4 linked regions of the Notamacropus eugenii genome follow. The protein of the gene in region 1 interacts with the protein of each later gene in a pairwise test. Links are inferred from orthologs where the notes say so. Each region holds a gene or a part of one and is shown in the gene's direction. Other genes may lie near its edges.

The links.
Region 2: the proteins of STAC3 (region 1) and C1H1orf35 interact in binary tests that used the Homo sapiens proteins (3 or more experiments, as listed by UniProt). The two-hybrid records come from large-scale screens. The link is inferred for Notamacropus eugenii from reciprocal best matches to the Homo sapiens genes STAC3 and C1orf35.
Region 3: the proteins of STAC3 (region 1) and EAF1 interact in binary tests that used the Homo sapiens proteins (3 or more experiments, as listed by UniProt). The two-hybrid records come from large-scale screens. The link is inferred for Notamacropus eugenii from reciprocal best matches to the Homo sapiens genes STAC3 and EAF1.
Region 4: the proteins of STAC3 (region 1) and SREK1IP1 interact in binary tests that used the Homo sapiens proteins (3 or more experiments, as listed by UniProt). The two-hybrid records come from large-scale screens. The link is inferred for Notamacropus eugenii from reciprocal best matches to the Homo sapiens genes STAC3 and SREK1IP1.

Annotation. Positions count from the first base shown.
Region 1 is NC_092874.1:232,680,172-232,687,434, reverse strand, and holds the start of STAC3 (SH3 and cysteine-rich domain-containing protein 3), read left to right. Parts: upstream 1-4,255; 5' UTR 4,256-4,351; coding exon 4,352-4,450; intron 4,451-4,721; coding exon 4,722-4,989; intron 4,990-5,248; coding exon 5,249-5,346; intron 5,347-5,579; coding exon 5,580-5,655; intron 5,656-6,103; coding exon 6,104-6,195; intron 6,196-7,263. Other genes in the region: R3HDM2 (R3H domain-containing protein 2), read left to right, coding at 129-514. UniProt on the Homo sapiens protein: Required for normal excitation-contraction coupling in skeletal muscle and for normal muscle contraction in response to membrane depolarization. Required for normal Ca(2+) release from the sarcplasmic reticulum, which ultimately leads to muscle contraction.
Region 2 is NC_092872.1:9,916,482-9,924,217, forward strand, and holds the start of C1H1orf35 (multiple myeloma tumor-associated protein 2), read left to right. Parts: upstream 1-4,718; 5' UTR 4,719-4,955; intron 4,956-7,736.
Region 3 is NC_092874.1:38,508,184-38,515,138, reverse strand, and holds the start of EAF1 (ELL-associated factor 1), read left to right. Parts: upstream 1-3,937; 5' UTR 3,938-4,178; coding exon 4,179-4,281; intron 4,282-4,495; exon of another isoform or gene 4,496-4,697; intron 4,698-4,891; coding exon 4,892-4,986; intron 4,987-6,488; coding exon 6,489-6,625; intron 6,626-6,955. Other genes in the region: tRNA N(3)-cytidine methyltransferase METTL6, read right to left, coding at 1,222-1,356, 2,011-2,283. UniProt on the Homo sapiens protein: Acts as a transcriptional transactivator of ELL and ELL2 elongation activities.
Region 4 is NC_092875.1:319,600,089-319,606,950, reverse strand, and holds the start of SREK1IP1 (protein SREK1IP1), read left to right. Parts: upstream 1-3,844; 5' UTR 3,845-4,308; coding exon 4,309-4,321; intron 4,322-6,862. Other genes in the region: spliceosome-associated protein CWC27 homolog, read right to left, coding at 3,585-3,626. UniProt on the Homo sapiens protein: Possible splicing regulator involved in the control of cellular survival.

The DNA of each region.
Region 1 (7,263 bases):
GGACTAGAGATGGGAGTGGGGGAGGTGGGGCTTCTGGGAACAGTGTATATGGACTTGGTCAGTTGGATCCTTCTCTGTCAGGACACTGTCCAGTCCCCGCCTCCTCTTGCCCCCTCCGCCCCTCACAGCCACATCCTCTCTCCCCCTTCCAGTCCTGGGGCGGGTGTTGGAGGTGACAGATCTCCCTGAGGGCATCACCCGCACAGAGGCCGACAAACTCTTCACGCAGCTCGCCATGTCCGGCGCCAAGATCCAGTGGCTCAAGGACGCTCAGGGGCTGCCAGGCGGCGGGGGCGGGGGCGGTGGGGGGGGTGGGGGGGACAACAATGGGACTGCCGAGAATGGCCGGCACACAGACCTCGCTGCCTTATACACCATCGTGGCTGTGTTCCCCAGCCCCCTGGCGGCCCAGAATGCCTCCCTCCGCCTCAACAACTCCGTGAGTCGCTTCAAACTTCGAGTGGCCAAAAAGAACTATGACCTGAGGATCCTGGAGCGGGCCAGCTCCCAGTAGGCAGAGGAGGGGAAGAGGCCAGCACCACGGGTTGGGGCAGGGTGGTGTGGGCAAGGGATGCAGAAAAAGCACAGATAGAGATGCTGATCCAGACAGACATGAGACATGCATAGAGATAAGACATAGATATGGAGACTGAGGCCATAGACAGTGAGACAGGCAGACACAAACACACACAAACACACACACACAAACACACACACACACACACACACACAGAGGACTCAGTCTGGGGTTTTCTTTGCCACCTTTTCCCTCTCTTTCTCTGGGTGGCACCTCTCCTCTCTGCCTCCCTTTCCCTCCAATCCTCTCCCTCCTTTTTTGGACATCCCTTTTTCCCCATCCTGGCCTCCAATGCATTTCTTTCATTTTGGAGGGGTAGTATGGAGGGGTCCTACACTCCCCCATTCCTCCCCTTCTCCTGCCACCCCATCTCCTCTTCCTCTTTTTGGTCTTTATGAATATATTTATATGGACAGAATTAAGAAGAAAAAAATAAATTGATTTTCCCCCTCCTTTCACTTCCCCACCATCTTGTCTCCCCTATCCCATGAGTTAAACCTGTGCCTACCCCTCCTCTATCCACCCCAGCCCCCCAGAACACTTGTATATTGTTTGTTTGAGGTTCGTGCCGCAGTAACAGACACAGTATTTAATTGCACATACAGATGTTTGCTGGGTATGTTCACTGTAAATTTTATTTAATCTGGGTTTTTTGTTTGTTTTGGGGGGTTGTTTGGGGGGTTTTATTTTATTTTATTTTTGTTTTGTTTTTAAATATAAAAAAAAATCATCTGTCACTGGACGTCAGTCCTGGTTTCTCTGTTACTGCCCTTGGGAGGGGGTTGCAGGGAAGGATTTGGGATAGAGTGGAGTGGAGCTGCCTTCCAAATGGATGTGATCCTGCCACCCTCTTTCATTCTCCCATCAATCCTCCACCTGTTCCTGTAGGTGTCTAAACCTTTGGCTTCAGGTCCCTGATGGGGCAGGTATGAAGTGAGGACATGAATGCAGCTGAGTTTCTGGCCCAGCCCTCATCTTCCACTTTCCCCCTGAAGTCTTTTTTAATACTGTGCTGGCAGGTAATAGGGGAGTAAGTGTTCCCTGCAATAAAAGCTGCATTTCCAGAACCTGCAGTATTTTGACTTCCTCAGTCAGTCAGGATAGTCTCAGCATCCCCTTTCCTACATACAGGAGAAAGAAAAGTCATACCTAACAAATTAGCCCTATGCTATATCGCCACATACCCCTTTTTGATCCTCATGCCTCTCAGTAAATCTCATTTTCCTTAAGTTGCCCTCGATCCTAAGATATCTTAAGAACCCAGATGCCTAGAAGTAGATCCACCTTCAAGTTCAGCCTACACAAAACCTCACTGCCAGAAACTTACTGGCGATCTTTGACCCCACTGGACCCCATGTAGAAAGGAACAGAAATGGGTTGAACAGCCTGAGCTTTCACTTGGGGCTAGGTAGCTTCTCTATTGGGTTTTTTCTGACCCTCCAGTCTAATCCAGCTGTTAGAGGGTCTTCATACTTCATACTTGGAATTGGTGAGGCAATATGTTGTCATTAACAATTTCTCTGCTGTGGTAGGAGTATCTCCCCGCCAAGCTATCCCCCTACCCAAACTAATAGAAGAAGAATGGCTTGGTACAGTGGAGAGAGCCCTGGACTTGGAGTCAGAGGCCTTAGGTTAGAATTCCAGCTCTGCTGGCTCTGTTACTCTCTGGGTGATCTTGGGCAAGTCACAAGGTCTCTTGGTATCAGTGGCCTCATCTTTAAAATGAGGGGGTCAAACTAGATGACCTTTCAGGTCTCTTCCAGTTCTAGAAATCTGTTACCCTATGATCCTGTGACATGCACTTCAGGTACAAATTGGCCATATTTGTGAAGTCCATGTTCTGGGGCATTCTGGTGTGGGGGAAGGGGAATCAGGATGTTGAGAACCATCAGAGAGAGGGGGAATGGGAGGGCCATCTTGCCCCTAAAGTCTTCTTGACTAACATGGTGGGAGGGTCAGGAAATAGAGGTCTGGCGATACACTAGTTATGAGGACATTTTCTTAAGTAGCTGAAACTATCTCTCCATTGTTGTTTCTTGTAAACATGGAGGCAGCTCCCCCCCACCCCCATCTGGTCATTGGGTTGTTGAGATTCTTCATTCCCTTTTCCCATATGGATCCTAGACCACTTTCAGTCACACTCGGGCTCCCTGCCAGCGTGGTTGGGATGGGAGATTGCGGGGAATGAATGTCCAGATACGATTCAAGAAAGGGGGCCATATTAGATTGTACAGTTCTTTGCAAGACAGGTAAGCTATCCCCTTCCCCTCACCAGGGATGAGGAAGCAGCCATATCTTGTTGAGAAGTAACCCTGTGAACTTGAGTTGTCTTTCTTTTATCTCCCACCCCAGTTCTCAGCCTAGGACTACATCTGCCTGAAGTGTTCATAAAGGGACAAAAAGCCACCCTTGATATATTCAAATGTAGGTGCCCTACAAAGACTTGGGGAAGGATGATGTGAATAGGTGGAGTTGAAGCCAGTAGCCTATGGCTTCTAAGGGTGGGTCCGGAGTAGATAGAAATGATGAAAGTGTTTAGTTTTCAAAGTGGAGGAGGGGCAGGTTGTAACCTTTTTTACTCCAATCAACTTTCCAGAATCCCTCCTAAAGGGGCACAAAATATGAGCGGAATTGTCCTGTAAAGCATTTAGTTACTACTATACTGAACATAGGTGAAGGGGTGGGGATAGGGCAGCTGTTATCTCAGCCAGTTGTGGCTGAAGAGATTTGGGGGAGGGAGGTCAGGGTCCAACACTGCCCCAGGCCTTTTAGTTTCCAATTTCTCTGTGTCAGCTGTGTTGCTCAGCTGTCCACTCTCCTCTAGCCCTGTCACTTAAGCTGTGACGCTGAAGGGAGAGGCTAGGTCTGCACGCACCAGCTGGGGAGACGTGAGCACCAAGGGTATTTTGGGGGTATAAAGCCCCCCGGGCAAGAGGACAAAGCCTTCTTTTTCCATTCCCATCCAACACCAACACCAAGCCTCCTAACCTGGCATCCTCTTACCTCCACTGGCTGTGGACTGACATAGGGAATCCCAAACGTAAGTTGCCTTTTCTTACGACTTACCAGACAGTGACTCCTTGGGCTCCCACATCTCTCAGCCAGTTCACCTCTCCCGTTTGCCTTACCTGGCTGTTAAGTAGTCTGGGGTGTACCAGTTCCAGTCATTTCTTTCCCTGAAGAAAGGGCTGGGATCAGGAAAGAGGGTTGGGGAGTTAATGTCCAGGGTATAGAGTAGTAGAGAAGGGAGGTCATATTACATTGAAAACTTAAAAATAGCCAACCCCCAAGGCAGGCTGGGGCAGGGCCTGACCTAGAGGTAGTGTTAAAACGCACTCCCACCCCCAGGCTTGGAGAAATGAGGGGAGCGGGAATTCTCTACCTCTTTTCTCAAAGTGAGAATTTGGGGGAGGGAGAAAAGGAATCCAGGGAAAGGTTACATAGGGTCATATACAACTGCCTATAGCCTTGAAGAAAAGAGAAAGCCTCAAAATGAGAAGTCTGTCTTGATGGAACTTCTACAAGGGAATGGAGGCTGTCTTCCGTAGGCCTACCTCGGTCATCTCCCAGTCTGGGCCCTTATATGGAGTCTCCTTGTTTAGGCTCCTTTGTTTATTAGTCTCTCATTCTGGAAGAGGGAGATAGAGACCCCCTTTGTGTGTCTCAGCTTAAGAGACCTGCAGTTCTCTTCCCAAAGCTCTATTTGTCCTATCCTACAAGGTGAGTTGAGTCCCTAGAAGTAAGAAAGGGAGGGGGGAGGGGTGGCAAGGAAGGATGAAAAATCAACAGTGGGATCCCCACTCTTGCAGGATGACAGAAAAAGAGGTTCTGGATTCTCCCAAATCTTTCCCAACAGAAACACCAAAGAGTGGGGTGAGTCTGGGCCTCTGACACAGGGCTTTGATAGGTGGGAGGGCACACTAACAACCCCACTCTTATCTGAACTGATGGTTACAGAACTAGAGGCTGTGGGGCTCATCTCAGTTATGTGTAATTTATTTAAGGTACATTTGCCCTACACACACACTCTCACTCCCTCTCCCCTCTGGGGAACATCTCAACCCTTGACCCAGAACATTTCCCAGGTGGTTTTAGCCTAACGAAGTGGAACTGTAGTCTGAATCTTCCCTTTGCTCCTCCCTAGCTACAAAGGCTGAAGCAATTATTCAGGAAGGAGTCTGTAGAAAGAAAGGAGATGGAGCCCCCCTCTGAGCCCCAGGCCAATGGAGAGGCAGTAGGGGCTCAGGGGGGACCCATCTACTACATATATGAGGAGGAGGAAGAGGAAGAAGAGGAGGAAGAGGAGCCACCCCCTGAACCCCCTAAGCTTGTCAATGACAAGCCCCACAAGTTCAAAGATCATTTCTTCAAGAAGCCCAAATTCTGTGATGTCTGTGCCAGAATGATTGTTCGTGAGTCTGGGAAATAGAGGAAGATGGGATGTGTAGAGCGTCATGGGACTGTGGGTTGAAGGGACTGGGAGAGAGATCAATATTGCACAAATTTAGATGAAGGTGGGGACTGTTAATGGATGTGCTTAGAGAAGCCTGGATAGGTTGAGGCAATCTAAGAAATGAAAGAGGAGTCACTCGGGATTGGGGTGATGCTGGAAGCAGAGGAGTAGAGAAAAGGTTTCGTGATCTCACCCAAATGTTCTTTCCCTCTACCAAGTTAACAACAAATTTGGGCTACGATGCAAGAACTGCAAAACCAATATCCATGAACACTGCCAATCCTTTGTGGAGATGCAGAGATGCTTTGGCAAGATTGTGAGTTAGGTCTGGGAGCACGGGGGTGGAGGGTAGTGTTGAGGACATCTGTACTCTGGATGAATGCTTCATAAGTTACCCCCATTCATTCCTTGGTATCTGCTTCCCCAGCCCCACTCATAAAGGACAAAACCCCCCTGAATAAAGGAGGAAGGCTCCTGGGTGCAGAGAGGGGGCTTTTGGGTCCAGGGCCCTCTCCCCTTGTCTCAATCACCTTCCTGTCTCCCCCACAGCCCCCTGGTTTCCGCCGAGCCTACAGTTCTCCACTCTATAGTGACCAGCAGTATGCCTGTGTCAAGGACCTACTGTGTAAGTTGCCTTTATTCCTCCACCCAGTTGAGGGAAATATGCCAGAAAATTGATTGTTTCTGTAGTCTGGAAGCTTCTTGGTCACCATGACTGCACCACTCCTGACTTGGGAAACTGAAACTTAAGACTGAAGTCTCTTGATGCCTAAATTCTAGACACCCTGGTTTTATTCTCATCCTGAAATTTTTAGCCACTCCAGCTTGTAGACTCTTGGAAGGAATCCATACCTATCTTGAATACCAGCCCTGTTGTTTCTAGGCCCAAGTGTCCCTGAGTTCTAAGTAGAAAGCAAAACTTCTAGTCTCCCCCCTCACTTCCCTGTTACGTTCTCAGACCTCCTTCCCCACCTGTATCCACTCAGTCCTGCTGTCTTCCACAGAAGAGGACCCTCTCTTCCTGTTCGTCAGTAATGTTTCCTTCTCTTTCCTATGCCCCCTTTTACTCCTAGCCAACCGAAATGACCCTGTTTTTGAGACACTTCGAACTGGAGTGATCATGGCAAACAAAGAGCGGAAGAAGGGACAAGCAGACAAGAAGAACGTGAGCTTCTTCTGCCCCTTTCATGGTTGGAGCCCCACCCCCTTCCCAAGAGACCTGCTTGAGACCCCTCAGGAATGCCTAATAAAAATAATGGCTAGCATGTCTGTAGAGCTTTAAGGTTTGCAAAACCCTTTACAAATATCTCATTTTATCCCTGGAGGATAGGTGATAGTAGTATTACCATCCCAACTGTAAAGATGAAGAAACAGAGGCAGGCAAAGGTTAAGAGACTGGCCCAGGCTCACACAGCTAAGTAATATCTGAGGTCACATTTGAACTCAGATTTTCTTGACTTTGCCACAAAGCTGTTCTAGATTCTCCAGATTATCCCTTAGAACTACAGCTGGGGGACTGTGACTGCCATTGAGGGGGAGGAGAACAGTAGTTGGGCATTATGATGAGGTTATCAGGTAGGATGCTTTTAAGAAGAGGAAAATATGTTCCTGCTAAACTAACCTTGTTTCACTTTCTGATGAAGCCATTGGACTAATGGATCAGGAAAATGTTAGTTGTGCCTTGACTTGAGCAAGGCATTGCTGAATGCTTTTAAAAAGCAGATTCTGTGAAGTAACCAAGTGCTTTTAGACCTGCCTGGAACAACATGTTTGTCAAGTTTGTGGATGACCTGAAGCAGGGACAGGTAACCAGTGTGCTAGCTGACAGAATTACAATTTAAAAACATCTCTTAGGGCTGAAAAGATAGGCAGAAATAACAAGATGAAGCCTAATAGGAATCAGTATACCTTGTTTACATTACCTCGGTCCTATTCCTTTCCTATTTTTACCTCATTTGAAGGTTCCATGGAAAAGGAGAGGCCTTAAAAGAAGAGACTTTTTATCAAACCCTTGATGAGCCAAGTGCATATTTTGTCAAGTGGAAGCAAGGTGGTGCAGTGAATTGGACCTGGTAGGTCTGAGTTCAAATCCTGCCTCAGATGCTGGGACCCTACCCTCCCAGGCTCAATTTCCTCATCTGTAAAAAGGAGATAATAAAAGCACCCAAGTCACAGGGTTGTTTTGAAGATAAAATGAGTTAACATATAAAGCCTTTTGCAAACCCTAAAGTGC
Region 2 (7,736 bases), on another chromosome or scaffold:
CTGACTATGTCACACCCCTACTCACATCAACTCCAGGGACTTTATGTTATCTCTAAGAAGTACTGTGTTTGGCATTTCAAAAGCCCTTCATGTCCTAGCCCCCTTCTACCTTTCCAGTCTTCTTCCACCTTCCTCTTTGCCATGTACTCCTCCTGGCTGTCCCACAGTCAAGACCTCCATCCAGCAGCTCCAGGCATTCTCCCCATGCGCTTCCTCCTCCACTCCATCTGCTGACTTCCCCGACTTTCTTTAAATTCCAACTAAAATCCCATCTTTTACTGGAAGCCTTCCCCAACCCTTCTTAATTCTAGTACCTTCCCTGAGTTAATTCCAATATTTCCTGTATATAGTTTGTATATGTGTGTATGTATATATAACACATAAAAATATATACGTGTGTGTGTATAAAATTTGTTTGCCTGTTGTTTCCCCCATGATCCTGAACTCCTCAAAAACAAAGACTGTCTTTTGCCTCTTTCTGTACCCCTACTGCTTGGCACATAATAGGTACTTAATAAGTGTTTAATGACTGACTTCAGGGATGGATTCAATCAGTGGGGAAAGTTGAGAACACCCTGGCCATCTTGCCATCAGCCCTGCCAGCCTCCAAACTGGGCCAGAAACCATACTCTTGTCCTGTGGCCCCACTGTTCTGACCGGTGAATGCTTCATTATATCCCTCCTTGTTTCACTTTACACTGTAGCAACCCACCCTGCCTCCCTCACTCCCTCCTTCCAGCTCTGGAATCATAATCAGTACTACCATTCCTATTAGAAAGTGTGTCAATGACCCCCCTTTCTCTCCACTCATCATCTCTTCTACCTTCCAGATCAAAATTCCATCCTTAGCCACCATACCCTCTTATGCGTATTGGCTCTCCCATTAGAAATAAGCTCCTTTTTGTATTTCTATCTCCAGCTTTTAGCACCGTGTTTGCACATAGCAAGTACTTAATAAATGTTTTTGCATTCATTCATTCAAAAATAAAGATTGTCAATGATTTTTTAAAAAGGGGAGGGAAGAGATCACAGGGAGGAGCAGCACAGAAGCAAACAAGAACGAGCATGGCTTGTTCTGGGACTGGCAACACCCATGGAGGCCACACTGACTGACCTGGAGGGGTGTGAAGGGCTTCCTGTCGGGTCATGCATGCGCTCACAGCCAAAGAGTACTTGTTTTCCAGTCAACATTTTCTGATCGATTTATCACTGGATCATTGATTGAGAGCTAGAAGGAATGTTAATGGTCTCCAACTCAAGTAGAAATGGGAGCCATGAAGTTGTACATAAGGATCTCTGAAGATCTTTACATTAACTTAGAAAGTCACACACCAACATTATCTGTGTTCTATTGTATTTTTATTTATTTGATTAAACATCTTCCCAATTACATTTTGATCCCGTTCAGACAGTGCTCTGTTGGGAGTGTTGTGCCTCCTAGAGTGTGTTTAAAACCTGATCTAGACCAATCTCATCACTGGAGATGAGGAAACCAAGTCCCAGAGAGTCTGTGTCACACAGACCAGAAGGGAGTAAGCAGCAGCAGGGATTTAAACCTAAGTTAACTACTTCTAAATCTAGCACTAGCCTACACTGCCTTCCATGTCAGAAATCCCATGCTTCAAATGAACCAAAAAGTGCACAAAGCCAATGCAACCAAGATTAGAAGGGAAGCAGAAAATGGGAAACAATGTTTACAATGTCTTTGATAAAGGCCTCATTTCTAAAATATATAGAGAATTGAGTCAAATTTATAAGAATACAAGTCATTCCCTCGTTGATAAATGGTCAAAGTTTTCAGAGAAAGAAATTAAAGCTCTCTATAGTCATGAAAAAATGCTGTAAATCACTATTGACTGGAGAGATGCAAATCAAAACATCTCTGAGGTACCACACTACACCTATCAGATTGGCTAACGTGACAAAACAGGAAGGTGATAAATGTTAGAGAAGATGAGGGAAAATCGGAACACTAATGCATTGTTGGTGGAACTGTGAGCTGATCCAACCATTCTGGAGAGCAGTTTGGAACTGTGCCCAAAGGGACACAAAAATGCATACCCTTTGACCCACAATACCATTTCTAGATCTCTGTTCCAAAGAGATTACAAAAATGGGAAAAGGAGTCACGTGTACAAAAATATTTATAGCAGCTCTTTTTGTGGTGGCAAAAATTGGAAATTGAGGGGATGCCCATCAATTGGGGAATGTCTGAACAAGCTGTGGTATCTGAACGTAATAGAATATTATTGTTCCATAAGAAATGATGAACAGGCGGATTTCAGGAAAACCTGGACTTGCATGAACTGATGCAGAGTGAAGCAAACTGACCCAGGAGAACGCTGGGCACAGGAACAGCAGTGTTGTTCGATGACCACTGTTGACAGACTTGGCTCTTCTCAACAGTGCAGGGATCCAAGACTCCTGATGGAAAATGCCACCACATCCGAGAAAGAACTGTGGAGTCTGAATGCAGATCGAAGCAGGCTGTGCACTCTCTTTTTGTTTCTTCTTTCACGTGGTTCCCAATTATTGGTTCTAGTCCTTCTTTACAACATGATCAATGTGAAAATATGTTTAATAGGAATGTATATGGGGAGCCTGTATCAGACTGCGCACCATCTTGGGATAGGGGGAGGAGGGAGGAGAAAATTTGGAACTCAAAATCTTAAGGAGTGAGTGTTGAAAACTGAAAATAATTAATTAAAAAAATGAAACAAAAAGCAGAGAACAGGTGGCTCTGTGGCCTCAGATTCTAAATTTGTGACAAAAGGACCACATTCAAGGGAACCAGTGAGGGGATCCTTAGCCTTGTCCAGCCCAGTTTCTTTGTATGGGAACCATAACTGCCCTTCCCAAAGTGACTGATCATCTTGTAATCGACAAATCTAGTGCTTTTCCCTCATATCTCACTTGTTTCACCCCTTTAGCATTTATCACTACAGACCACCCTTTCCTCCTGAATACTGTCCCCCCTCTTCCATCTTCCTGATTCTCCCCTGTGCCCCTGGCCTGCCAGAATTCTGTCCTGAGTCTTCACTCTTTACATGCTCTCCCTGTGATACCCTTAGATACCCTTAGTGCCCACAGGTTAAACACATGAACCATGTCTCCAGCCCTTGGACCTTTGCCCAGCTGCACCGCCGGCTCCTCCTCAGGAGTCTCCAGTTGGACCACGTTATCCTATACCCTCCATCCCCCGCCACTTCTGTGCAGGGCACCGTCATTCTGCCAGTCACCCAGGTTGGCAACCCCCCATATCTAATCAGATCTCAAACACAGCCTTCCAACTGGCCTTTGCCTCAAGCCTCTCCCCAGGGGTGGCCTCGAGGCCACGTGTTCTAGGTCCTCGGGTGCAGCCCTTTGACCGAGTCCAAGTTTTACAGAAGGATTTGTTCTATGAAGGTGGCTCCAATGGCAGGGCAGCACTCGAGGACCTGGAGGTCCACAGGTGGCCTCGAGGCCCTCGCCACCTCCTTGCGCGGAGTCCTCCCCACAGCTCCCTACTGCCCGTGGGATCCGACACTGCGAAGGCCTTCACCCCCAGACCCCAGCTTACCTTTCCAGCCAAACTGATCTTCCTGTTTCTCCCATCTCCAGGTCTTTGCCCTGGCTGTGCCTCATTCCCTAGTGCCCTTCCAGGTTAGCTCCAGGAGTCCTCGTGTGCACGAAGGCGCCGCATCCCCAGCCCCACACAGTGCCTCGAGGGGCCGTGGAGCCCCTGGGAGGAGACCCGCCGCGGACGGAGGAGGTGCCCCGGCCTTGGCACCGAGGAGGGGGGAAGCCAGGGCGCAAAGAGAGGCTGCCATATGAAGCAGGTGTGAGCGGCGCTCCTCCAGGAGTCGGGCTGGAGGACGAGGCCGGGCTGGTCCCCGCCCCTCGGCCCCCCCGCCTGAGCGGGTCCCCGCCCCCCGGCCCCCCCAGCCTGGGCGGTCCCCGGCCCCCCGCCCCCCGGCCTGAGCGGGTCCCCGCCCCTCGGCCCCCCAGCCTGGGCGGTCCCCGGCCCCCCGCCCCCCGCCCCCCCCAGCCTGAGCGGGTCCCCGCCCCCCGGCCCCCCCAGCCTGGGCGGTCCCCGCCCCCCGCCCTCTACCCCCCCCCCGCCCCGGCCTGGGCGGTCCCCGGCCCCCGGCCCCCCGCTCCCCGCCCCCCCCAGCCTGGGCGGTCCCCGGCCCCCCGCCCCCCCCCAGCCTGAGCGGGTCCCCGCCCCCCGGCCCCCCCCCCCAGCCTGGGCGGTCCCCGCCCCCCGCCTGGGCGGTCCCCGGCCCCCCGCCCCCCCCAGCCTGGGCGGTCCCCGCCCCCCGGCCTGGGCGGTCCCCGCCCCCCGCCCCCCCCTTGGCCTGGGCGGTCCCCGCCCCCCGCCCCCCCCTTGGCCTGGGCGGTCCCCGCCCCCCGCCCCCCCCTTGGCCTGGGCGGTCCCCGCCCCCCGCCTGGGCGGTCCCCGGGAAGGCGGCGCTCAAGGGCCTCCGCCTCAGTTCCCCCTCTGAAGAACGGGAAGGAGGCAGGCCTGCTCGGACTGCCCGTGAACGTGGCGCGGAGCCGAGGCGGCGAGGCGTGAAAGCGCCCTCTGTAGGCTGCGAGGCCCGGCCCCGCAGCGCCTCCCGGCGGTGACCGACGGAACCGCAGGACCTTGCCAACTCCTTCTCCATCCCCGCCCCCGCGGGAAAGAGGATCGAGGAAAGAGAGGGGCGGGGGAAGGCGGGCCTTCCGGCCGCGGCTCCGCCCACTCCGGCTGGGGCTGTAACGGCGGGCGTTCTCCTGTGCCCGCTCCGCTGTGGCCTGTTCCCCCCCCCCCCTTATTGTGCCGCGGCGGAAGAGCCTCCCGGCAGACTGCGAAACTTGGTGAGCCAAGCTGGGCCTGGGTCGAGGAGCCTGCGGTCCAAGAGGGTCTGGAGCCGGACGGGCCACGGGCCACGCTGGGGTCCCTGGTCCTGAAGAGCTGAAGGGACGAACTCGAGGTGTGTGTGTGGGGGGGGGGGGTGCCATGGCCTGAGGGGGGTTAGGGGCGGAGCCTGCAGGAGCCCTCCTGGGGGGCCCGAGAGGAGGGGGTTGGGGGCAGGGTGGGGCTTGCGGGAGCGCGCCTGGGGCCTGATAGGAGTGTAGTGTGGGGGCGGGGCTTGCGGGAATGCGCCTGGGGCCTGAAAGGCGGGAGCAGGGCTTGCAAAAGCACGTCTAGAGCCTGATAGGAAAGGGGTAAGATTTGAGGGAGCGTACCTGGAGCCTGATAGGAGAGAGGGCTGGGGGCGGGACTTGAAGGAGCGTACCTGGAGCCTGATAGGAGAGTGGATAGGGGCGGGACTTGAAGAAGCATGCCTGCATCCTGATAGGAGAAGGGTGGGGGCGGGACTTGAGGGAGCGTGCCTGGAACCTGATAGGAGAGGAGGGTGAGGGCGGGGTTTGCGGGAGTGCGTTTGGGGCCTGAGAGGTGGAAGTGAGACTTGCAAGAGCGCGTCTAGAGCCTGATAGGAGAGGGGTGGGGTTTGAGATAGCGTGCCTTGGAGTCTGATAGGAGAGAAGGCTAGGGGTGGGACTTAAGGGAGCGTGCCTGGGCTCTGATAGGAGAGAAAGCTAGGGGAGGGACTTGGGCGTGCCTGGGCTCTGTTAGGAGATGGGGGGGGTCTTGAGGAGGCATGCCTCGGGCTTTATAGGAGGGGAGTCTGGGGCGGAGCTTGAGGGAGTGCATCTGAGGCCTAATAGGTGGAGTGAGGGGGGCGGGATCTGCAGCGGCACGTGTGGGGAACGGGGAGTGGAGTGAGCCGAGGAGGCATGCAGCGAGAGAACTGAGGGGTGACGTCCGAGGTGTGAAGGGAGGGGGCCGCCCATGGGCTGCCAAGGCCCAAGACTGGCTGAATCGGGGACAGAGGGGATGTCTAATAATGGACATAACGCTTTAAAGATTGCTGACCTCTGGATCTGCAGGACACCAGCAGGTGCTGTGGTTATCCCAGTTTTACCGGCTCGCCCACGGCCCAGACCTCCCCGACCGCCCGGGGCCAGCTCCCTGCTCTGTGACCGCCGCCCGCACTAACTGGACTTGGTGTGTCGTGTGCTTTGAAAACTTCACAGGGCTGTATGAATGGGAGTTATGGCTGAGGCTTGCAAAATGCTTTCCTCAGTCACTTTGTGAAAGGGTTTTTTCATTTATGTTTTTATTTTTGGGAGAAAAAACATTGGATTTGGCTGAGGTCGCAGAGCTGGACCCGGGCAGAGCCCGGATGCAAGCCCAGGCCACCCTCCTCCCCATTCAGCCTCCTTTCCATTACTAGCTCCTGGATTCCCTGTGACCTCGGACAAGTCAGTGAAGCCCTTCCAGACCCTAGAAAATGTCGTGGAACTTGGGTTTCAATCCCAGCTCTTCCATTCACCACGTGTGTGACCTGTACAAGTCATTTTATCTCTCGGGACTTGTTTCCTCCTCTGTAGAAATGAGGAGGATTAGACTTGATGACCTGAGGTCATTTCCAGCTCTAAATCTGTGATCCTACGAGTGATTTCTCCCTCAGTCTTGGTTTCCTCATCTGTAAAATATGCGTTGGGCCAGGTGATCTCTTAGGTCTCTTTCAGTTCAGATGTCCTCTGCTCAGAAGGCACTTTCTGTCTCTGATACTACCCAGTCTGTGACTGTTAGCATTTCAGATCAGAGGAGGACATTGAAGAACTGGTCAGTTGGGATAGTGCCTCAGTCTTCACACAGGGTGCTCCATGTTAGCAAAGACTTTGTTTCCCATATTGGACAAGGAGCTCTTTGAGACGACAGAGGTCTAATGTCATGGGACATTAGAATGGATCTCAGAATGTAGAATTATAGCATGTTAGAGCTGGAAGGAATTTTTGACACCACCTCACTCATCCCGCTCCTTTTACAGGTGATACTGGTCCAAAGAGGGAAAGGTAATTAATTGGCCAAGGTGATATTGAGTCCATGGAAGAGTCAGGACCAGAGAGCAGATCTCCTGCTGTCTATCGCAGACTCTTTCAGGCATCAGGCTGCTTTCCCAACCTTTGGCTGTTCTTTCCTCCAATTCTAGCTTGGATACTCAGTCTCTTAGAAGTTCAGAATTCTTCCCTTATGGGAAGGCTGAACAGAGAGTGTCTCTAGTCATCTCTCCTTCCTCTTCCCTAGAAGGGGATGGTAGAGCTACAGGGGTGGTAGAGCTAGGGAGCTGGCCATCTACAGAGAGATGGGCCCTAAACTTTGTCCATAGTTTCTCTCTGGGTCATTTATCCTCGAGAAGGAAGAGTTGATGTCAGGAGAAAGATATGGGAAATGGTCTTCTTGTTTTCTCTTTTGTTTGTGAGAAGATAGAATGAACTGAAGCAGTCAGGTACAGTGAGAAGAATAAAGAGCAGCTTGGGAGATACTGGAGCAAGGCATGGGTTTGAGTAAGCTTCTGTTCATGAGCAGGAACAATTAAGCACTTACTTGTACCCTGCCCTGGGGAATGCACATAACAAATAATGAAACAATCCCTAATGGCCAAGAACTTGCATTCTAATGTCATCTTACCCTCTCTGAGCCTCAGCTTCTTCCTGTGAAATTAGGCTAAAAAATCCTTGCAGTATCTAACTCACGGGGCTCTTGTTGGTAAAGCATAGTAGAAACGTGAGATGATGAGGATGTTGTTGATAATAATTCTTCCTGGTTGATGAGCCCGCTGCCTGTCAGAAAAGCGGTGATCTATTTGGAGGAAAGTGTAGATGGCATGCTCATCAGATGTTCAGATTACATTAAACTAGGA
Region 3 (6,955 bases), about 190 Mb from region 1:
TCTTTGAAGCATGGAGGATTGGCAGGGGATCTTTTCCTTCTAAGACTGAGAGGTTTTTCAATGTATTGGAATCCCAAGGAACTCTAGTATTCCTTTTCCATTATCAATAAGGTATCCCAGGACTGTATGTCTTACACCCTGACAGTATGGCTGTAACTCCAGGACTGGGCAGAATCCTGAACTCATAAAATATTTAGACTAAGATTTTCAGAAACCTATTTTATTGATTCTCACATCTATATATTCATTAATCACTGACCAAGATGGAGCAAAAGTCCTCTGCTGGGATCGTAAGATGAGACTAACAAGATGAAAACTTACAGGGAGAAAAGGAAAGACCTGAGTCAAAATCAGCTAAGGGGAGAAGTTTGGGGCACCCAGGCAGTGCAGAGAGTGGTGCTGGGCCTGAAGTCAGGAAGACTCAACACTGGGAGTTCAAACCTGGCCTCAGGCATGTACTGGTTGTGTGACCCCAGGCAAGTCACTTCTGCCTGTTTGCCTCAGTTTCCTCATCTGCAAAATGAGCTGGAGAAGGAAATGGTAAAGCCCTTCAGTGTCCCTGCCAGGCTTCTGGAGCCCTTTTGAAAAGTCCTAGGACAATGACTGCGACGCTATGGGACCTGGTACCACCCAGGCCAAAAGATGAGTCACTGAAGGAAGTGAGTACTCCCTGGGGACTTGAGAGCTACAAGCCAACATCTGAATCCTGACACGTAGCTCTGTCATGCAGGCTCGTCCTGCCTGGCCCTCGGGAATGGAGGGCAATTACAGGAAGGCAGATTTCAAGAAAACATAAGGAAAGATGTTTCACAATCAGTGCTGACAGGCAAGGATCACTGAGACTTCACAATTCACTTGAGGATCCCTCAGCTCGCTTTGTGCTTTGGGGAGGAGTTAAGGCAAAAATTACTTCAAAAGTCTCTTCTATCTGCCACTCTGTGCTTCCAATTCAAGAGTGAGATGTCATGGGTCACGGGAGTGACAAAGTGGGTGAGTAAACCTGTCACCTTCACTCTGCCAGTTACCAAGGGGGTCACCACCTAAAAGCTGCTGGTCAGAGTCTCAGTATATGCATACAACCAACTTATTTTCCCTTTCACAATTTGCACTAATTGGTAACATCAATTGTAACAGAAAAGGATTAATTTAGCCTCCATTGTGCCAAATCAAATGTACATAAATGGGCTTAAAGAAGTATCATCACAGACCTACTATACCAACCTTAACATACTCCACAGCCCGGGGTGAGAAGTCACACGCATAAGCAAAGATATTTCGATCTTCTTCTAAAAGTGGGAATAAACAGTTTCCAACCCCACAGCCAGCTTCAAGGATAATCAACTTCTGATCATCAAACTGAGGGGAAAAAAAAAAGAGTAGATGTTATATTTGCATGATCAGCAAATGAAACTGCTAATTCTCACCTATTCAAAATCTAGGTCTTATTGCTGAATAGAAAGCATGTGATAATTCTATGTTCTATTTGTGTTGTCTTAATTTGTGTTGGATTAAGTTTCACTAGCAGCTTCGAGTAAATGGTTTGCTGGCCAACTGTATTTTTCATGTCACAAGCACCAAGTAAGCCAGATAAGATGTGCAGAGTTTAAGACAGCAGGACAGCAGAAAAGACACCTTCAAGTAGACTGCTAAGCATTTAACGAATCTCCAAAACCTGAGACCCATTCACTGGCATTTACTTAACGCCCACAAAAGCAGAGTCAACTAGCATTCGTTAAATGCTTACTAGGTGCTGGTACTTCTGAGCTAGAGTTGGCCTCAGAAGTCAGGAGGACCTCGGTTAAGTCCCGTGAGTAACTTAATCGCTAATACCATAATTTACAGGGATGTTGGATCAGCACGTTTCCTCCCCAGGAGTCCCATTCAGGCCTTATTTCTCTTATCAGCCCTCCCTCACAAGTCATCATTATTTCTCTGATGGCATGTTTTTCTTTGGCAACGAAAGACAAACACATACTATCTTTCTTATACAGGCAGTATTAGTTGACTTACCTCCCTACATGCCCTCAGTTCCTCAAACTCTCTGGTGGTCCAGTGTCTATCTTTGAAGAAATTTGTACTATTTCTCTTGTAAAACAGGTCCCAATTCTTCTGGGCCTCCTTTTCTAGTTTTGCCTGTTTAAAGGGAGACACAACTGTACCATCTCTGTCTTGAGGCCTGCTCTCTTGTTCTTTCTTCCGAAGTAGATTCTCTCCACTGGTGGACATTACCACGTGTAATCCCATTAAAGAGTCTTCATCCTTGTAATTCCCAGATGAATTCATCTTCCTGCAGCCCTTTTGAGGATAATTTCTTTTAGCTAGGTTTCCTCATGTTCATTTTCAGGCAGCAATTCCCCCGACTCAAACAGGATCAGGAGCTAAAAAAGGAATAAAAATGAGAATACGGTCAGTTGAACATTTTAAGGTGGATAAAATGAGATAGTATTTGTAAAACTGTATTTGCATCACCCAAAAATCAAGTGGGGAAATCCCACTCAGCAAAAATCCAGGTCTTCCTGGATTGTTGAATGAGAGCATGTGATCATTTTATATTCTATTTCTGTTGTTTTAATTTATGTAGATTAGAAGCGACATAGTAACGGGTTCATTGCTGGGCTATAGCTTCCTGTGTCACAAGCGTACAGTGCCTGCACACAGTAGGCACAATATAAATGTTTATCCAAATGAGACGACTACGAAGCAATTTTAGCACAATGTACGTGGCACACAGTCATATAAACAGACGCAATTATTATTGTTGTGGTGATATTTTCTTCCCTTCCCCAGAGGATGGTTCAGCAGAAACAGAATTCCTGAAAAATCCAGTATTTAATAAGTGCCCACTATATGCCAGACTATGTGCCAATGTAATTTTTGTCACACCCACTGTGTGGGAACAAGAAGGAAACCATGGCATCTATTGGGGGAGGGGAGTCTAACCTCAACATCCCCCACCCCAGGCTGCCCCCCTAAACCCTGCTCTGCACCCTGCACCCCAGGCTGCCCCCCTAAACCCCACTCTGCACCCCCCACCCCAGGCTGCCCCCTTAAACACCGCTTTGCACCCCGCACCCCAGGCCACCCCCCAAACCCCGCTCTGCACCCCCCACCCCAGGCTGCCCCCCTAAACACCGCTCTGCACCCCGCACCCCAGGCCACCCCCAAACCCTGCTCTGCACCCCCCACCCCAGGCCGCCCCCCTAAACCCCGCTCTGCACCCCCCACCCCAGGGGGTACAGCCACGTTTTCCAGACCAGGTACCACGGGCCCTAGGGAGGTGCGGCTGGCCTCCAGGGCCTCGAGGGCCTGTCCAAGCGTTACCCCCTGGGGGCAGGCTTGCCTTTGTATTTCCAGGGCTGGGTACCAGGGGCCAGGCTGGGGGCTGGACGGCCCCTCACCCCCACTTTGGCCAAGCTCGTGGGGGGAGCAGAGCTGCAAGGGACGTGGGGTCCAGCCCCCTCGTTTTACAGAAAAGGAAACTGAGGCCCAAGAGTCAGAGAGCCGGGGCTCCTCCCACCCTCATCTTGGAACAGAATTTTTACAAACCGGGAAACTGAGGTCGGGGGGGAGGAGAGGGCTTGCGTGTGGCCATGGGGCTAGTCAGTGGAGGGGCCGGGATGAGGACTCTGGGTCTCCAGGGCCTCAGCTTCCTCGTCTGTAGGATGGGCACAACCTCCCTAACTGGCCTTACCTACCCGGCTTGTGGCGAGCGGCCGAGTCGGCCTGGGGCCGGGGCCGGGGCCGGGGCCGGGGGCGCACGGACAAGGCCCAAGGCTGGCGGAGCAGGTGCGCAGCCCTGTCCCAGAGCAGCTCAGCCCGTACCCTCCCAGGCGCGGACCGGAAGTGTGCTCAGTCCCGGGCCTCGGTCGGAACGCTTTCCCTGTAGCACTGCTCCGCCCCACTTCCGGTAGGGGCGGTGACGCCGGAAGTTCCCTCCCTATTCCCCATAGACCCCGCCCCTGGCGCGGCGGAAGCGTAGAAGGAGATTCCGGCCTCTTTTGGGGGTCGCCCCCGCCCCCGCAGCCTCGGAGCGGAGCGGTGTCCCAGTTGCACCATTCCCCCCTGCCTCTGCCGGAAGTGCCGGCCGGCCCTCAGGGCGGGGGCGGCGCTGAAGAAACCGGCGTAGGGGTCGGACCGGGCGGTAACTGGAGGCCGCCTCCCCCGGCGGGGAAAGGGCCATGAACGGCACCGCGAACCCGCTGCTGGACCGCGAGGAGCACGGCCTGAAGCTCGGCGAGAGCTTCGAGAAGAGGCCCAAGTCCTCCTTCCACACCATCCGCTGTGAGTACCCGCGGGCCGGACCGGCCTCCCGCCCCCGACCGAGCCCCCTCCCCCCCCGCCCCGGGCCCCGGTGGAGTCCTCCGCTCCGCCCTCCCGCTTCCCGGGACCTTCCCAGCGCCCCCCACAGACTCCTCGTAGACGCCCCCGGCGCCCCTCCGCCCCGCCCCCCTCCCGAGGCCCGGCCCAGGGGCTTCCTTTAGCGTCCCGGTCTGACCCGTGAGCCCCGCGCGGGGCGGGGGCGGCCCGGCAGTCCGGACGCGGGAGCGGTCCGCTGGACCCTCCGGACAAAGGAGGACACTGAGGCCCGGGGTCGCGGAGCTCGGCCCGTCACTCCTCGCGCTTTTCTCTCGCCGTCATATCGGGCTGTTGGGTTTTCCTCTTACGCCTCCCAGAAAAGCCCCGTCCGACCCAAAGCCTTCCTCGTGGAGACTCGGGGCGGCTCCGCGCGGGCTCCGTGTGGGGGGCGGCCTAAGACGGCCCCCCCCGTCAGCGGGGGCTCGTGGTGTTGGGCGCTCACCCGAGCCAGGGCGACGTCCGAGCTCTCAGCCGGGCCCGCCAGGGGGCCCCGGGTCAGCGGCCCGGCCGGGCCTGACCGTGTCTGTCCTCCCAGATGACTTCAAGCCGGCGTCCATAGACACCTCGTGCGAAGGAGAGCTGCAGGTGGGCAAAGGGGACGAGGTCACCATCACGCTGCCGCACATCCCGGTGAGTGGGCCTGTGTCTAAGGCCGGGAGTGCCCCGCTGTGCCAGGGCTGTGTCTGTCCTTAATGGTTTTGGGTGGTAATGGGGTAATATTCCTTACAAGGGTCAGCTGCTTAGAGGAAAAGTGGCTAGCACCGCCTTCACCAACACGTGGCTGCCCGGAGCCTTGGGCCAGGCTGGGAGTCACCTGGGTGGAGGGTGGTGGAGGGTGGAGTCCCCCATAAGCACCTAAAGCCCAGGCCGTGCGTGGGTCCAGAATTAAAGGGGATGGACAGAGATGGCAGGCCTAAGGCCACAGGGTCTGGGCAGCTGGGATGGAAGCAGGACGTCTCCGTAAGAGGAGCCCGGGATCAGAGATCAAATCGAGGTGTCGCGTCCCAAAGCAGAACTGATCCAGAGAGGTTTGAGCCCAAGATGCTGAAAAATGGGCACCTGAAGGAAGGTTCCTTGAGAGGGAGGAGACGTGTTTTTGTCCCTGAATCTCCAGGCCCAGTTTGGGGCTCTGCACTTTTTTGTCCAGAATGGGGATGCCACTGGTGTAGGGAATTCTTGGGGAGCAAGGTCTACAGCTTTGGGGGGGAGGGGATGGACCAGAACAGAGAAAGATTTGACTCAGTAAGATAATAGAGATAAAATGCTTTGGCAACTTCGTAGCATGTAACCGATGTCCATTGTTACTGTCTCTGTTAATGAGACAGCATACCAAAATTAATGGGATGCAGCCAAAGCAATTCTTAGGGGAAGTTTTATATCTCTAAATGTGCAGATGAGTAAAATAGAGAAACAGGAGATCAATGACTTGGGCATGCCACTAAAAAAAGCTAGAAAAAGAACAAATTAAAAATCTCCAATTAAATATCAAATTAGAAAATCAAAGGAGAGATTAATAAAATTTGTTTAATTTTTAAAATTAAGAAAACTCGAACTAATGAATAAACCTAAGAACTGGTTTTATGGAAAAAAATCATTAAAATAGATAAATCTTTGGTTAATTTTATTTAAAAAAAGAAAGTCAAATTGCAAGTATCAAAAATGAAAAGGGTGAATTCACCACCAATGAAGAAGAAATTAAAGTAATAATTAGGAGCTGTTTTGCCCAATTGTATGCCAACAGATCTGACAATCTAAACAAAATGGATGAATATTTGCAAAAACATTAATTGCCCAGATTAATAGAAGAGGAAATAAAATACTTAAATTATTACTGTCCCTGTTTTAGGATCATTTAGTCCGCTCAGGGATAATAAACATCATATCACTATTTGTCTTGATCCCCAGGGGGAACCAAAAGCTATCCCAGAAATCAGTACATTTTGTTCTATATGCACAACTTTAACTGGTAAGAAAAGGATGGAAATACTTTAAATTAGTTGGGAGGGCTTTTTAAAATGAGTCTGAGTTACTCATGCTAGCTAACCATTTTAAAAGATAGTCACCTTTTTCTAGTTAGTGGCACATTCCATGTGTCATTTAAGATGACTGTCTTGTGCTTTTACTTTAAATAGGGATCGACACCTCCAATGACTGTGTTCAAAGGAAACAAAAGACCCTATCAGAAAGACTGTGTTCTTATCATTAATCATGACACTGGTGAATACGTGTTGGAAAAACTCAGTAGCAGCATTCAGGTCAAGAAGACAAGGTGAGTATCTGATGAATCCATACCAGCACACATCTGCCATGGGGCAGTTGACAAAGCCCATCCCAGGACCTCTGGTGACATGGGATCTCTGATATCATTAGTTTGAAGAGCTCCCAGCAAAAAAAATGGTTTAGTAGATGATTCCTAGCGAGTTCCCCGAAGCCCCCAGATGTTGGTGACCTGCTCAGGGGCACACAGCTTGGAAGCATTCAGTCCATGGCTGTGCTGCTTCTGTGGGATACCAATGAAGGGACTGAAGGTCAGAGAAGGGCCTCCAATCCAGGCTGTCTCCCTCTAAGCTCTGTGCTCCACCGGGAAAGATGCTTACCT
Region 4 (6,862 bases), on another chromosome or scaffold:
ACTCTCTATCACTCTTAGCATATCACTAATTATATCCTGCCAAGCCTCAGCCTTGGATCACTTCCTCCATCCACCTCCTTCACAACTACCCACATCTACATATGTGCTGCTAAATGATGATGGAGAAAATCTCATGCAACCATTCTACTACAAATTTATGTAACATAGCCTCAACTGGGCTCTCACCCAGAAACTTCAACTTTCACTCTTGCTAGGCAGTTCTTCTTTTCACCTGCTCACATTTTATAGAAAAAAAACTGAGGCCATTCATCATGCACTCCCTCTTCTCCCCTCTTCCTCATCTCACATCACTCATATGCTTCTGCCACTATCTCCTTTCACCCATTTCACATGATAAGGTCCCTTACTCTTTACCAGGGATAATCCAACCACCTGCTGAACTAATCCCATTCTATTCCAGCTCCTCCAACAAAGGGCAATTTTCTCATTCTCACTCTTTCATTTATTTTCAGTCTCTCCCTATCTATGAAATTCCTGCCCTACTGAATGTAAATGATATTCGTGTCTTCCTCACCTTTAAAAACATGTCACTTGATCTTTCCATCCCCTCTCTTCTTTCTCTTTTGCCTTTTGTAGGTAAATTTCTTAAAAGGGCAATGTATGTTAAGTGTCTCTACTTTTTCTCCTATCACTCTCTTTTTAACCCTTTATAATGTGACTTATGACCTTTATCATTCCACCAAAGTTGATCTCTTCAAAGTTACCAGTGATCTTAGTTTTCAAATCCAGTGGCAAAATTTTCCAAATCTTAGTCTCCTTGACCTCTTGATAGCCTCTGACTATGGATCATCCTCTTCTTGATATTCTCTTCTCTCTAGGTTTTTGGGATATGACTCTCCTGATTCTCCTCCTACCTATCTGACCACTCTTTCTCTGTCTCTTTTGTGGGATCTTCCCAAAGATCATGCCCTCCAACCACAGATATCCTTCAGGGTTCTACCTGGGGCTTTCTTTTCCCTCTATACTACTTCTTCACTTGCTGATCTCATCAGATCTCATCTATTTAATTATCATCCTTAAAGCTAATGATTCTCAAATTTACCCTTCTTTTCCCAGTCTCTCTACTGATCTCCAATCTCACATCTTCAGCTACCTTGTAGACATCTTAAACTCAATATATTCAAAATGGAATTTATTATCTTACTTCCTAAACCCTCCCCTCCTCCTACCTTTCCTAATACTGTAGAGGGCAAAGCCATCCTCCCAGTCCTCAGGCTTACAACCTAGGAGTTATCTTGTACTCACTGTCAACCCCCATTTCCAATCTTTTCTCAGGGGCCTGTTGATTTTACCTCTGCAGCAACATTTCTCAAACATGCCCTTTTCTCTCCTCTGACACTGTCATTACTCTAAAGTGAACCCTGAAAATAGCCTGCAGGTGGGTCTGCCTGCTTCTAGTCTCTCCCACTCAATTCACCCTCCATTCAACCAAAAATGATTTTCCCAAAATGCAAGGTCGACCATGTCTATTCAATAAACTTCACTCTTTCAATTATCTCTATTTCTCCAGTATATAACTTGCTTTGCATAGATTTGCATATGGTCTACCTCATAGATTATAAGCTTTTTGAGGCCTGGAACTTTCTTTTACCCTTTTGGTATCCCTGGTGCTTAGCAAAGTACCTGGCAATTAAGCAGGTGCTTAATAAATGTTTACTGACTGTTTTTCTTGATAAAACTCCTGTGGGTCCCTATCTCTTCCAGAACCAAATACAAAAATCCTCTGTTTGACCCTTCGTATTCTAGAGCCCTCCTTTACTCTTCTTAAGCCTTTACTCTATGAAATGTACTCATCCTCTTCAATCCACTGATACTGGCCTCCTTGCTGTTCCAGGAACAAAATACTGCATCTCCCAGCTCAGGACATTTTCTCTGACTGTCCCCCAGGCCTGGAATGCTCTCCATCCTCAACTCTGCCTAGTAATTTTCCTGGTTTCCTTTAAGTTCTAATTGAAATCCCGTCTTTCATTGAAAGTCTTTCATAACCCCTCTTAGTTCTAGTGCCCCAAATCTCTCTTAATTATATCCTAGTTATCTTGTATATAACTTGTTTGTACATGTTTGTTTGTTGTCTCCCCCATTAGACTGTGAGCTCCTTTATGGCAGGAACTGTGTTCTCCCTCTTTTTGAATCCCCGTTTAGCACAGCACTTGTCACAGGGGTTTAATAAATGTTGTAGTAGGCATTTAATAAATGCTTATTGGCTGGCTGACCACTTACTAGCCAGGTGACCTTAAGCAAGTCCCATCATTCCATCTCCCTTCCCACATCTACAACAGGAAGGGTTTGGACTAGGTGGTACCAAAGGCCCTACCTGGATCTCCAGCATCTAGATAGGAGGTTCCCAAACTTATTTGGCTTAAGGACCCTTTTCAAAAAAACATTACTTGGCACACCCCTGGAAATCTACAAAGAAAGTTTTCTTTAACACTTTAAAGTGTTTTTTAAAATTTGCATCATTTCAAAAAAATTTTTTTTAAATTACACAAGCTAAATCTAATAATTTATTATAAATTTGTGGGGTTTTTGACTGCATTGAAATTTTGAACATAGTATCCTATTGTAAAAAGTCATGGCCTGCAGGGATTCCCGCTGATATTCTGGACTTTCTGACAATGCAGGGCAACCTCACTTGCCAACATCTGCTTGTTTAAGACCTGCCCCTGGACTTAACCACTGATGGGCTATAGCTTGCACTTTGTATGCTTATTTGGAAAATCACTTACTCACAAGGACTTTGACTTCATTACACAACAGATGAGACATGTACAAAGTTTTTCAAAATTTTCTTCTCTTCTTTCCTTGTGCTTCCACAGCCCCTTATTTTTATTAAGCTCTCCCAACTGCACCCAAGGTTTCTACCACCAGTCCTGCCCCGAGCCTGGATCCTTCCAGCTTCGCCCACTTTGGGATCCTTTGAATCCAGATTCCAGAATCCGGATTTTGGATCATAGTGGGTTCATGATAAATACTTGACTGGGCTTCCTTTCATGCAAGGATTCTTTACCTAGGGGATGTAAACAGATTTTGGGGGGGTGGGGGGGAAGAGGTTCCTGTAAATTTGCATGGGAAAAAAATTACATCCTTATTTTCACTAACCAATTATTCAAAATTCTTCTGAGAAAGGTTCCACAGACTTCACCAGACCGGCAAAGGGGTCCAGAACACAAAAGAGGGTTAAGAGTCCCCTGCTTCAAAAGTTCTGAGGTCGAAGGAAGGCTGGGGGGAAAGAGGAGAAAGTAGACAGTTCCCCTCTCTGTGTGTTTTGAAAAACTGAGCACCCAGTTCGCGTCGGGTCCAACTGCAAATCTTCCCCAAGTATGGGGGATGGAATCTGCCATGTCCTTAGCTGTCATCTAGTCCAGCTTCCTCACTTTAAAGACAAGGAAACTAAGGCCCGGGGAAGGTAAGTGACTGATCCAAGGCGGCACGGCTCGTAAACGACAGGGCGGGAATTCGAACTCGGGTCTCCCGACTCCAAGGTGCGGCCGGCGCTCTCCACAGCGCACCCCGCCAACAGGGAAGCGAGGGGGAAGCTCCCCCGCGCCCGCGCGCGCTCTCACCTTTCCGTTGGTGGGCGGCTCCTGGATGTAAATGTTGCTCATCCTGGACGGCTGTCGGGGGAGGGGAGATCCGCTGCCGGGCTCCTTACGAGGCTCAAGGGCTCTCTGTCTGACCGTCCGCGCTGCACGGCGAAGGGAAAGCCCAGCGGGCCAGTCCTGACAGCTCCTAGAGGCGGCCTCAGCTACGGCATCAACTGCCGGTCCTGCCCTTCCGACAGCCTAACAAGGCACTAACTGACCCAGGCGGCCGCCATACTGCACCTGGCCCTGCGCACCGCTCTCTGCGGGGAGGGGTGTCCTCGACCTTCTCCTACAGAAATTCTCCTGGAGAGAGTGAAGAGAGCCCGCTGAGCATCCGCTTGAAGTTAATATTCATTTAATTATCTAGCTTCGCAAGAAACTTTCTTTTGTTTTAAATCAATCTTTAGTTAACGATTGGCAAGTCCTAAACGCCCTCCCCCGGTGTATGTATATGTCAGAAATGGTTTGGACCACCAGTGCTCGGTCTTATGCCTCCGTCCGCGAACTGCGGCTGAAACTGCCGCGTTCTGTAGTCTTCCTCGGGACTCGGGTCCCTAAGAGGAGGCTGTGGCGGGAGAGGGGAAACCCGCGGCGCAGCCGGAGTCACCGGAAGCGGTGTCCGGGGAGCGAAGGCGGCGGCGGCGGCGGCGGCGGCGGCGGTGGCAACGGCAGCTGAGGCCCAGAGGCTGCTTCCGCCCGGGCTATGGCCCTGCCAGGTGACTGCCCCGGGGTCGGCCGGAGCACGGGGAGGCGAGCCGGGAGGGAGGTGGCGGGGGAGCTCGGAGCTCTGCGGCCTGGGCGAGGGAGAGCGTGAGCGGGAGGTCAGGTTTCCGTGGTGGATTGTGTATGTGTGTGTGCGGTGTGATTGTAGACTGTGAGTGTGTATATGGGGGATGTACTTACATGTATGAATGTAGTGGGAACACGTGTGTGGTGTATTGTGCATATGTGATCACGTGTACGTGAGTGTGTATGTGTGGTGTCTGTATGTGTGTGTAGCGTACGAACACATGTGTGATTGTGTCATTGTGTATGTGCGGTGTGTGTACCAGGCGGTGGAGGCAGCTAGGTAGATCCGTGCCTAGAGGTTCATGTGAGGCCTCAGACACTCCTTAGCTGTGCGGCCCTAGACAGATCACCTCCACTGGAGAGGGGAGTGGCCAGCCCCTCGCCTATCTTTGCCAAGAGAACCACCTCACAGGTCATGAAGAGTGGGATACAACACAGCACACATGTCATTGGGTGGCGTATTTGATTACGTTTGCGTGGTATATGTTTATACGTATATGAATGTAGTATGATTGTGTGTGATTGTACATGTGCGAGCATGTATTATGTGGGCGAAATGTGTGCTGTGATATGGCTTGAGAGTGTGGGATATAGACATGTACGTGGCTTGTGTTGCGTACATGTATACACATGCGTGTACACAAACACATTATGTTTGTAGTTGTATGTCATGTCTGGTGTGTGTATGTGTTTACATGTGTATGCTTATATGTGTATATATGGTATATACATATTTTATGTAATATATGTTTATGAATATATGTGTGTCTGATTATGTTATATGTGGCGTGCATGTATGAGTGTAAGCATGCTGTATATGCATGTGGTATGCATATGTTATGTGATGTATTTTGTATGCATGGGTATATGTTTATGTGGTGTACATGCATGTGCGTGCGAATGTATAAAGTATATTTGTGGTATGTATGTGGTGTTACATATATGACAGTATTGTGGACAGTGTATATGTGGTGTGTGTTTATAGGTATATATGTTGTGCGTTCATGTCTGCATGTGGTATGTATATATGTATACATGGTGTGTGTGCACAGATGTTTGTGGGGGAGAGAGTAGGAGAGATGGGGGAAGCGTGATATTTTTAAAAGTTTTTTAATAGTAATAATGCCTTTTTTTTAATTAAGTTAAACTCCAGAGACAGGGTGGTGTAGTGAAAAGTGTCTAGAAACCAAAGCCTAATTTTAATTAATCTAGATGTGACATATTTTCTACATACCACCACCAGAGAGCAAGACACAGTCCCCTTAATTTCTTCGTGCCTCTGTTGACTCCTTTAAAAGAGGTTATACACTAAGTGGTTTTTAAGGACCCTTTCCAGCTCTAAATTCTATGGCCCTAAATCAGGAGTTCTTAACCTTTTTTCCCCTGGGTCATGGACCCCTTTGGCAGTCGGGTAAAACCTATGGATCCCTCACCTAAATAATGTTTTTAAATAATTGAAAGAAATACTCAATTTTAATTAGAGGTTAGTTTTTAAAAAGAAGTCTTTTTCCCCCATCTAAATTCACAGTCTCCTTAAAATCTTTCCACAGACCTCTTGTCTATTTTGTATCCCAAGTTAAGAATCCCTACCCCAAATTGAGGCATGGTTAAAGAATGAAAATTTCTCTGAGCCAGTTTCCTAAGTGAATACTTGTCCTACCTACTTTAAAGTATCATTCCTGGGAATACACTCAAATCAATTCAATAGGCATGTATTAATTGCCCACTTCATGGTACAGTGCTTGGAGATGGAGTCAGGACCCACTTAAATTCTCTGCCTCTTTAATACCTGTATAACCTTGGGTACCTCACTTAACGTATCTGGAACTCAGTTTGCTTACCTGTAAAATAATAGGATTAGACTAGATAGCATCTGAGATAACTTTCATTTTTAAATCTATGATCCTATAAACTGCCTCCCCAAATCTACGTTGTCAAGGGATATGGGGAAGTAGAATTTTGGTAAGTCAGGGATCATTCTACATTCTTGGTACTTAGTATTTCTGGAGAGTATAACACACACACACACACACACACAAATTATAATATAAAATTATACATGATGTGTACATTAGAGATTTATGTAAAATGCTACGTGAGGTCCCAGAGAAAGAGTTGGCATTTTAATTTGAATTGTAAATAATGGATAGGAATTCAGTAGACGAAAGAATGGTAGGGGAATTCCTTTGGGACTAATGAAAAAGATTCCTAAAGGTACATTCCCAGAATAGCCACTTTGGCCTGAACTAGATAGTTGATGTATGACGGTAGTAATGCCAGACTGGAGGGTACCTTACATGCCAGACAAGAGATTGAACTTTGCCTAGGCAGTAAATTAAGGCTATTGTAGATTTTTTAGCAGAAAAGTGATGTGACCTGATTTCCAAATGAGGAATTCAGCAGAGGAGGAAAGCATTCATTGGACGGTAGAAGACTATTACAGTAGTGCACGTGAATAGTGATTATTT